Neurospora crassa OR74A: one gene and its partner. The protein of the gene in region 1 binds, or shares a complex with, the protein of each later gene. Links are inferred from orthologs where the notes say so. Each region holds a gene or a part of one and is shown on either strand. Other genes may lie near its edges.

Region 1 (4,531 bases):
CGAGCTCGGCGGAAAGGGGACCACCGCCTGGACCGGAGCCCACGACTATGTAGTCGTAGGTGGCAGTGGGGTCCGCATCCGCGGGGGCTGCTAGAGCAGGGGCGAGGAGGAGGGAGAGTAAGAAGAACTTCATCATGGCAGGCAGATGAGGACAGTGGTGAGAGGAGAGAGAAGAGTGTGCGAGACTCCCAGGGTCCGCGGAGGATGAAGGTGAGGATGGGACAAAATCACCAGAAAGTGGTGGAAGGGGAACATTAATATATGAAGCTCAACAATGAGCGTCTGATTGATTGGATCTAGACGAATACTACCTTGTTAAGCGCAACACAGGACTCATGGCAGCGGGTAAATCGCCTGGCCTGGTTCCGTTATAGTGAGAGGGGTTTGAGCCTGGTAACTTGTTTCCGAGATATTGCAATCACTGTCCATTCGCCTCCTTGAGTGTCCATCAGTGTATGGCTAAAGTGTTGTGCTTTGACCCATGGCCGGCCGTTTCTCCCCATTGTACACAACCATCTGTTTCCGAGGTCTCGTCATGCGCCAGCCAATGGACCGATTGACGACCAATGAAACTTTATTAGGGTAATCGAAAGCATCTTATGCCAGTCGTTGCCTTGTAAAGAGCGATAATCACCAATGGTAAGCTTAGAAATGGCTCCATAATACGTCGCTTGAGAATGTGGGAAGGAGGGGAAGTAGCAGTCAATGCGAGCCAAGATCGGAATGTGACGCCGCATGGCATGGAAAGGGAAGGCCGACGAGCTCGGAACGGCATGCAGTTGGTTCTTGGTCAGAACGGTCTGCAACTGTTCCGTTTGCCGAGAGTGCAAGGTGTAAAGCCGAACGTTGTTCTACCTGGGCCAGGCTTCGGTGTTATCGTCCATTGAAGCGAGCGCTTGACGTGCCTTTATAGTGACGATAGCAACAGGACCACGGCCATGGATCTCCCCTCCCCACCGCTCTTCTTCCTTGTTGTGGGTGGTAGATGGTCACGACAGGTTCGTGATCAGAAGTCCGAAAGCTTGCGTGGAGGCCAGTGGACCCGAGTCGATGACGGTACCGAGACCCCAACTACGGGATTCCCCATTTCGTGAACGCAAGATTACTCCCCCTTCTCCAGCTCAGGCAAATAGACCTCTTCAATCCTTCTTCTCAACACCCTTTCCGCCCCAGAAGCCTCCACCCTCCCCTCCGGCCCCCCTCTCATCATCTTTCCCACCAAAAACATCAGCTTTCCCTGGGGATACGCCTTCATCTTCCCTTGCTTCCACCTCAAGAACTCGCCCAATATCTTCTCCTCTCCTTGGATAACCTCATCCGCCAGTTTTGCGTATTCCTCCTCTGGCAGCTCCTTGAACCAGAGGCCGTGGGTATCAATGTAGCTGGTTGTTCCGCCTTCGGGGATCTCGCCGCGGTAGACAGCCCAGAGGAGGTCCTTGGCGACTTTGGCGGTGATGGTGCGGGAGTAGAGGTGGTGAAGGATGGCGGCTAGGGAGGAGGAGGGAACGAGGGGTGATTCGCCAAGGGGCGTCATGGCTAGGCCTTCGAGGACATCTGGATCTGAACAGGAGGAAGAGGAAGCGGAGTCGGTGAGCTTGCCGAGTTCGTGGAGACACCAGTTCGCAGCCAGGGTTGCGTGTTCCGCGCCTTCTGGAACGGCTTGCCCATCGGCGACGAGGCGTTCCTCAAGGGAATCAAGCACATTGTAGAAGTACTGAATCCTGGCTCCACCATCAAGCAACATCAACGACAAGGCATCCTTGGCGCTGAGGTTATACCTCTCCATCAACTGATCCGCCTCCTGATCCGGCAACACCCCCATCGTCTCCCTCAACCTTGCCACCAGATCCTCCCCGATCACCACCGGCCCTAGGTCCGGATCAGGCATATATCGATAATCCACCTCGCCTTCCTTCCCTCTGAGCCTTCTCGTCTCTGTGCTTCCCAAGCTCCACCCTCTCGTCTCCCCCTTCACTTCCCCGCCTTCCTCCAGTAGCTCAATCTGCCTATCCCTCTCAGCAATAATCGCGTCCTCAACCGCCTTGAAGCTACTCAAATTCTTGATCTCCGTCCTCGTGCCCAACTTCCCACTGGGATCATCCGTCCTCCTGACCGAAACATTCACATCGGCCCTTAGTCCGCCCTCCTCCAGCCCGCTCACGCACGCATCCACACTCGCCAAAACCATCTGCACCTTTCTCACCAACGCCGCCGCCGTAGCGGGGTGGTGGATTTCGGGAAGCGTGATGATCTCAATCAAGGGAACCCCGACGCGATTAAAATCCAACCACTGAACATCCCCGGGTTGTGCCGTAGTCTTGGCCGTGTCCTGCTCCATCTGCACCTGTTTGATCCCGACTTTTATCTCTTCCCCATCCTCCGCCGCGATCCCGTCCCTGGCGTAGAGCGTGATGAAGCCATCTTTGGCAAACGGCTCGTAAAACTGCGTGATCTGGTACCCGCTCGGCTGGTCCCAGTGGAAATAATGTTTCCTGTCGAACCGACTGACGGGCTGGATGGAGCAGTTGAGAGCCAAAGCGGCGCGGACGGCGGGGATCAGTGTGGCGGGCTGGAAAAGCGGTTGGGAGCCGGGGAGGGCGAGGTCGAAGGGGGCGACATGGGTGTTGGGCGGGTCGTTGAAGGACGTGGTTGCGGGAGAAAAAAGCTTGTGGGCGGTGTTGAGCTGGGCGTGGATCTCGATGCCGACGGTGAGTTCCCAGCCGGGGACTGTTTGGTTGTCGCTGCTCTTTTTCTTTTTGTGGCCCGACTTTTTGAGGGCTTTGGCTTGTTCTTTGAGTTGTTTGCGGAAGGGGGCGGCGGCGGCGGGAGAAGAGGTTGTGGCTGAGGGGTTCGCGAAGGAGGTTTCAGTCGTTAGGTAGCGGGCGTGTTGACGAGGCTGAAGCTGTCGCGAGGGGAGAGGAGCACCGCCGAGAGCTACGCGCGTATTCTTGCCGGGAAGTGCGGCGCGGGCACGAAGACAACCGGGAGAGGCAATGTGACCAGTCAGTAGATATCTACTGAGTTCGACAGTGGGGATTCGAGGCATTGTAGGTCGGATGGTGTCGGCGTCAAGCCTTCGTGTTGTGACCAAAGGCGGGATGGAGAAAAGGAAAAGAGGAATTGGGAAGGAATTGGGGATTCGGGGAATTTGGCCCGACGTGGTGCTCCCCTCATGGTGGTCATAGCTCCCAACCCGTTATCGCTATACAGGGGATCTTATCACTTACACGGGACTTGTCTCCTCCAACCCTAACCCCGCCTGTTTTCTAGACGAAGGGAACAGAGGACATGATGATTAAACACGACCATTAATATGTCAATGTATTATGAAGTTGCCAAAGAAGAAACTTAAATGATTATTAGCTATGTATTGAATCCAAGCTGGTGCTAACAAGATGCCTTTAGAACAGGCTATCCTTCCTCACCGACTCCCCAAAGCCAAGGTACTTCTCCAGGACCCTGTACACTAATGTTCCTACACAACACTTCTCCTCAACCGTCACAACCAAAACATCTCCTTTTCCTGTCCATTACCAAAAATCATTCTTACCCTTTCCATACCCCTTTTTCATCTTATCCCGCCCTAATCCACCTCAACCTCCCCCTCACCACCCTCCTCCGGCCACCTACACTCCCACACCTCCTCTCTATCCACATCCACATCCACATCCACATCCCCCCCATCCTCCATCTTTTGCACCACCTCCTCCTTCAAAACACTCTTCCCCGGCCACGCACAAACCTTTCTCTGTCTCCTCACCCCACCACTAGCATTCATCCCCGCCCTCCAACTCGTTGCCACCAACTGCCTCACCTCCCTCCCCTCCTCCACCCACTTCCTCAGCGCCACCAACGCATCATGCTCCTCACTTCCCTCGAATCCGGGCACCGACCAGACCCCAGACCCCATGACACCAGCCTGGAACGCCCCGCCAATATTCCACGGCGCATCCACCCCCGCCGGACTAGCCCAGCAGTGCTGCATCCCTGGGATCAAGAACATCTTGAAGAACTCTGTCGTTTCGTCGCCAAAGTACTGCATAGTCCGCTGGTAGTAAAGTTCCGACCCCTTAGTGGGTACTAACCCGTCTGCTAAGCCATGATACAAAATAATCTTGCCGCCGCGGGATCTATAGGCCGAAATGTCGTAGTGATCTGCTGTTGCTTGGCCCGGGTCGAGACGCTCAGCGAGGTCGACGACGGAATCGGAGTAAGAGGTGGTGTAGTCCCAGGCGGCGTTGTCGAAGAGAAAGTTACGCTGGTAGCCGATGCCAAAGGGGGAAGGGAGGCCGTTGGTGTTGCCGATGATGGCCCACCATTGGGCTTCGGAGCCGAGGGTCAGGCCCGGGTAGATGAGTTCGCCTGTGGTTTCGTGGTGGTGTGAGGAGTATACTTTGGCGAGGGTGGAGAGTTGGGGGTTGGTTAGGCAGGTTGGTGCTGGTTCGTTGGATGGGCAGAGAAGGAGGGAGGAGTTGAAGGTGCAGAGGTCGGGACGGCTGATGATGCCGTCTTGAAGACCGTCGGTTGGGTC
Region 2 (4,200 bases), on another chromosome or scaffold:
ATTTTCACATGAACCATTTTTTGTTTCCTCAGTCTTGTTGGGGTCTTCGTGAAAACTAGATTCTCAAGTTCCGCGATCACTCCTGGTGGCTTTTTCTCTGCCACTCCGCTAAACTAAACCATCAGCAGCACAAAAGACCGCCTCAAACGAAGTGATCCCATCTACCTCATTTGCCCTCTTCTCCCTTCTCTCTTCATTTGTATCTCGATCCTCCCAGGCATTTGTTTTTCTTCTCCCTCGAAAGATGGCGGAGATCCACGCCATCTGCATCACTCTCGAAGAAATCTCCCGACGACTCAACAATATAAGCAGAATCTCTGCGTAAGTTGAATATCACTTGTAACTATGGAATTCATGCGCTAACTTTTGTAAGAAAACATGCTATTCATGTGCAGAACTGCTCAGCATGGTACAAAGTAAGTCTCTGACTACGAGTGACTTCTCGATATCTGTACGCTTGCTAATAATATCATGCTTTAGCAAAACCCGCGATTGAGGAAATGGTGGGCAACCGCTTGCTTGGCCATCACGGTGTTTGTGGTATTATAGCAAAAAGCCACGGGAGACATTCCAGCAACCCAAAGACACCAAGGCCACCGTCACAGGATCCACACTTCCCACCTCCCATGCAATATATCCCACATCCGTGCAACATACGCAGCGCGTTAACGATGGTCTCTCTTCGGATCGACGGCTTTTGAGAGAGAACAATCACAAGATTGTGATACCTGCGGTCACCCAACTCCTATCCAACATGTGCAATCTGCATCCTCACGAAGTCCTATGGGCCCGCAACACTATTTCCGCTTGGTTCGGAAGAGTGGGCTGGGAAAGTGTCGCCTGGTTGTGGTTGTTTGTTGGGGGATCACTGATTCGGAGGCCATAACATGATCAAGGAACCTGAAGATGGCCTTTTGGTCTGCTATGTGGGGAATTTAGGAAACACTACTGGCCGATTTTGCAATTCTTTCGTCGTTGATCGGCTACTCACTGGTGTTTCCCCATGTTTTTGCCTGTCACTGCTTTGATATGGTTGTTTCTCCTGGGGTTCGGTCTAAAGGGCAGCAACACCTCAACGATAACATTTACCAAATTCCCTGACTACCGGAGCAGACATCATTATCATCCATGAAATTCCTGTATGTCGGCTCCAAGGATGTATTAGCGTTCATTGGAGTTTAGATATTCACACCTTCAGTATTCTTCACAGTAAAAACAGCTAGATGTGATCAGAAGTTCACATGTCATCCCTTTAAATCCCCTGGCAGGTCTCGTGGTTCTCGGTAGGCCAGAGATGTGGAAGTTCGCTTGGAAACACACACACCACTGAAAAGGAATCACTTATGGCTATGGATCAAGCTCCTGACTGGCCAGGGACACACCCTCCATGTCTGTTAGTCTCACTAAAGCAGGAATCTATGCCCCGGAGTAGCTGACCTAGCGTAGAATAATGGGAAACCCTTGACGACTTGTCACTTCAGAGAACGTACGTACTCAACCCTAACCCTTATCAGCTTTACCCCAGCGACATAGGTATTGTCTGGAATCCCCCTCTTGAGCTTTCCACGCTCCGTCCGAATCTCTCCCGATTCCCGACCACGGTGAAGATACAGAAACATGGTGATCCAACACCGCAACCGACCCAATTGAGCGCCGAACAGAGCTGGGTCGTGACCAAGAAACCACATGTCAGCTAGAATTGGGCGGCTGCGGGGCCTATGTCTGCGCCATGTGAGCTCGACAAGGCAAACGTCACCCATCCAGCGACGCTCCCTGAACCAATTCATATCCAGAGGTACCGAACCGGGCTGTGTGTGAACTTGAAATGCACTTATACCTGCTGACAAGAGTCTTCCTGGTCTGTAGTGCAGCAACATGACCAACCCGCGCTCGAACAGCGGCAGTTCCGTCTCGCCGTCAAAGACAACATCGCCACAGTTTCCCCCAATTCCGAGGAGGAAACGCCTCTAACGACGACATGCGGCTCCAACTTCCTTGCCAACTACCGCAGCCCCTTTGAAGCCACCATCGTCAGCCAACTACGATCGCGCGGCGCTCTCTTGGTCGGCAAGACGAACCTGGATGAGTTCGGCATGGGCAGCCACTCGGTACACACGGCCTTTGGAGCTGTCGCGCAGGAGGGGGAGCACGAACAACAAGCAGTCAAGCACTCCGCGGGTGGCAGCTCAGGCGGAAGTGCCGTAGCCGTAGCCACGGGCGAAGCGGACATTGCTCTCGGCACCGACACAGGCGGCTCAGTCCGGTTGCCTGCCGGGTACACGGGCGTGGTGGGATTCAAGCCCTCGTACGGGATGCTCTCGCGCTATGGCGTGGTTCCCTATGCCAACTCGCTCGACACGGTGGGATTGCTGGCGAAGGAAGTAAGGCCCATCGCCGAGCTTATTCTTGGAGGAGCCGACAAGGTAACAAGGGGCCTCTGGGCCGAGCACGACCCGCTCGATCCCACGAGCCTCTCCCACGGGGCGCGCAGACGGTGCGCCAGCCAACGGGACTGCTACACCGGTCCCCTTCCCAAGGACCCGTACCCGCTCAAAAACCTCAAGTTTGGTCTCCCGCTCGAATACAACATTACGGAACTCTCGCCTTCCATCCGGCACAGCTGGTCCGCCGCTGCCGCCAAACTGCAATCCCTTGGCGCGCGCCTGGTCCCCGTCTCCCTGCCCTCAACCCGCCACGCCCTGTCGGCGTACTACGTCATCGCGCCCGCCGAGGCTTCGTCCAACCTGGCCAAGTATGACGGCATCCGGTACGGCACGCGCTTCACGTCTCCGACCGAGAGCGATGCCGCTATTTCGGAAGGCCCAGAAGGACGAGAAGAAGAAGAAGAAGGGATCCTCTATGCCCGCGCCCGCACCGCTGGTTTTGGGGATGAAGTTAAGCGTCGTATTCTCCTAGGCGCTTACACCCTATCCTCTGCCGCCATGGATAATTACTTTCTCAAAGCACAGAAGGTGCGTCGGCTGGTAAGGCGGGACTTTAACCGCGTCTTTGCGCTGCCCAACCCTCTTCTGGACAAGCCGGAAAGATTTGAGCTTAGCGAGTTGCCTGAGACGGTCGGGCTGGAGGATAAGTGGGGGCCTACGGAGGTGGATTTCCTGCTGTGCCCGACGGCGCCAACGACTGCGCCTAGGCTGGACGAGGTGCTGAGTGAAGAGGAGAAGGATCCGGTGAGCGCTTACATGAATGATGTGTTCACTGTGCCGGCGAGCTTGGCGGGGTTGCCGGCTATCAGTGTGCCGATGAGGGTTGAGGATAAGGAGGGGGCGGGCATGGCTGGGTTGCAGCTTATTGGGCAGTATTGGGATGATGCTAGGCTGCTGGCTGTTGCAGAGACGGTAGCTGATGTTGTCAGGGAGGAGCTATAGATGGCTCGAATTTTTGATGCGGTATAACAAAGACCCAATGGTCTTATGGGTATATTTGGGTTTGTTTACATGATTGATACCCCTGCATATCCATTATTTACGTCCATATTATTAGCAGCCCATAAGACATAGAGAGCAGTCCGAAACTCTCATACAATACCATCCATTTCCAGAAACATACCTAGGAAAAACACCAAAAGAACCCCCCCTAACAACTCCATCACCTACCTCCCTGGGTATCCGCCAACACTTCCTGTCCCACTCAGTTATGGTCAACCAAATGCCACTCAAATACCTTCTCAAACACTTCCTTCCCATTCCCCACAATCGTCTCTCCATGACACGGCACAATCGTCTCAAAATCCCACCCATCAATCCTCCGTACACTCTCGTTGAACCCTGCCCGATCCCCCCGACTCATCGCGTACCACAAAAACCTCTTAATCCCCTTGGCCTCTCCCTCGGTGTTATTCATCGCCTGGAACAACCTCCCCAGTAAACTCCCGTGCGGCTTTTCCGCCTCGGGAACCTTGGAGTACTGCTCAATGGCAGGCAGGTTGAACATGAGATCGGCCTCGATCAGGACTTTATCAGGCTTGTAGTAGAACACCAGCTCCTTGTTGGGGTGCGCGTCGACGTATTCATACTCAAAGTCGGCATCAAAGGCGTCGTCGATCTTGATACTTTTTTTGTTTTCCTTTGTAAAGACGACGGAAAAGGGCTCGTGCCCGATGCGTTCGTCGTCGGTCACCTTGGCCCGCTTTTCCGGAAGACCCTCGGGACCAATGATTTTGGCGTCGGGAAAGGCCCGCGC

What was found.
Region 2: the proteins of NCU09025 (region 1) and NCU00660 are in contact, whole or in part, in a crystal structure (PDB 4N0H), measured with the Saccharomyces cerevisiae proteins. The link is inferred for Neurospora crassa OR74A from reciprocal best matches to the Saccharomyces cerevisiae genes PET112 and HER2. Residues at the interface, in NP_009473.2 of Saccharomyces cerevisiae: Tyr66, Ile69, Ala70, Leu71, Pro72, Gly73, Thr74, Gln75, Pro76, Val77, Arg105, His107, Phe109, Tyr110, Gly111, Pro114, Gln115, Gly116, Tyr117, Tyr123, Leu177, Asp297, Arg299, Tyr300, Met301, Pro302, Pro304, Glu305, Pro307; in NP_014021.1 of Saccharomyces cerevisiae: Val56, Leu69, Phe72, Pro75, Phe76, Arg176, Phe177, Gly178, Val179, Ile180, Gln184, Ser185, Met211, Lys212, Asp213, Pro214, Thr215, Ala291, Glu292, Ser295, Asn296, Ser298, Arg299, Tyr300, Arg304, Tyr305, Leu319, Phe320, Arg324, Asn339.

Annotation. Positions count from the first base shown.
Region 1 is NC_026507.1:366,563-371,093, forward strand, and holds NCU09025 (glutamyl-tRNA(Gln) amidotransferase), read right to left. Parts: upstream 3,079-4,531; 5' UTR 3,047-3,078; coding exon 1,103-3,046; 3' UTR 250-1,102; downstream 1-249. Other genes in the region: NCU09024 (hypothetical protein), read right to left, coding at 1-136; NCU09026 (feruloyl esterase B), read right to left, coding at 3,584-4,531. UniProt on the Saccharomyces cerevisiae protein: Allows the formation of correctly charged Gln-tRNA(Gln) through the transamidation of misacylated Glu-tRNA(Gln) in the mitochondria. The reaction takes place in the presence of glutamine and ATP through an activated gamma-phospho-Glu-tRNA(Gln).
Region 2 is NC_026501.1:7,652,580-7,656,779, forward strand, and holds NCU00660 (glutamyl-tRNA amidotransferase), read left to right. Parts: upstream 1-1,576; 5' UTR 1,577-1,686; coding exon 1,687-1,795; intron 1,796-1,866; coding exon 1,867-3,386; 3' UTR 3,387-3,593; downstream 3,594-4,200. Other genes in the region: NCU00659 (uncharacterized protein), read right to left, coding at 3,649-4,200.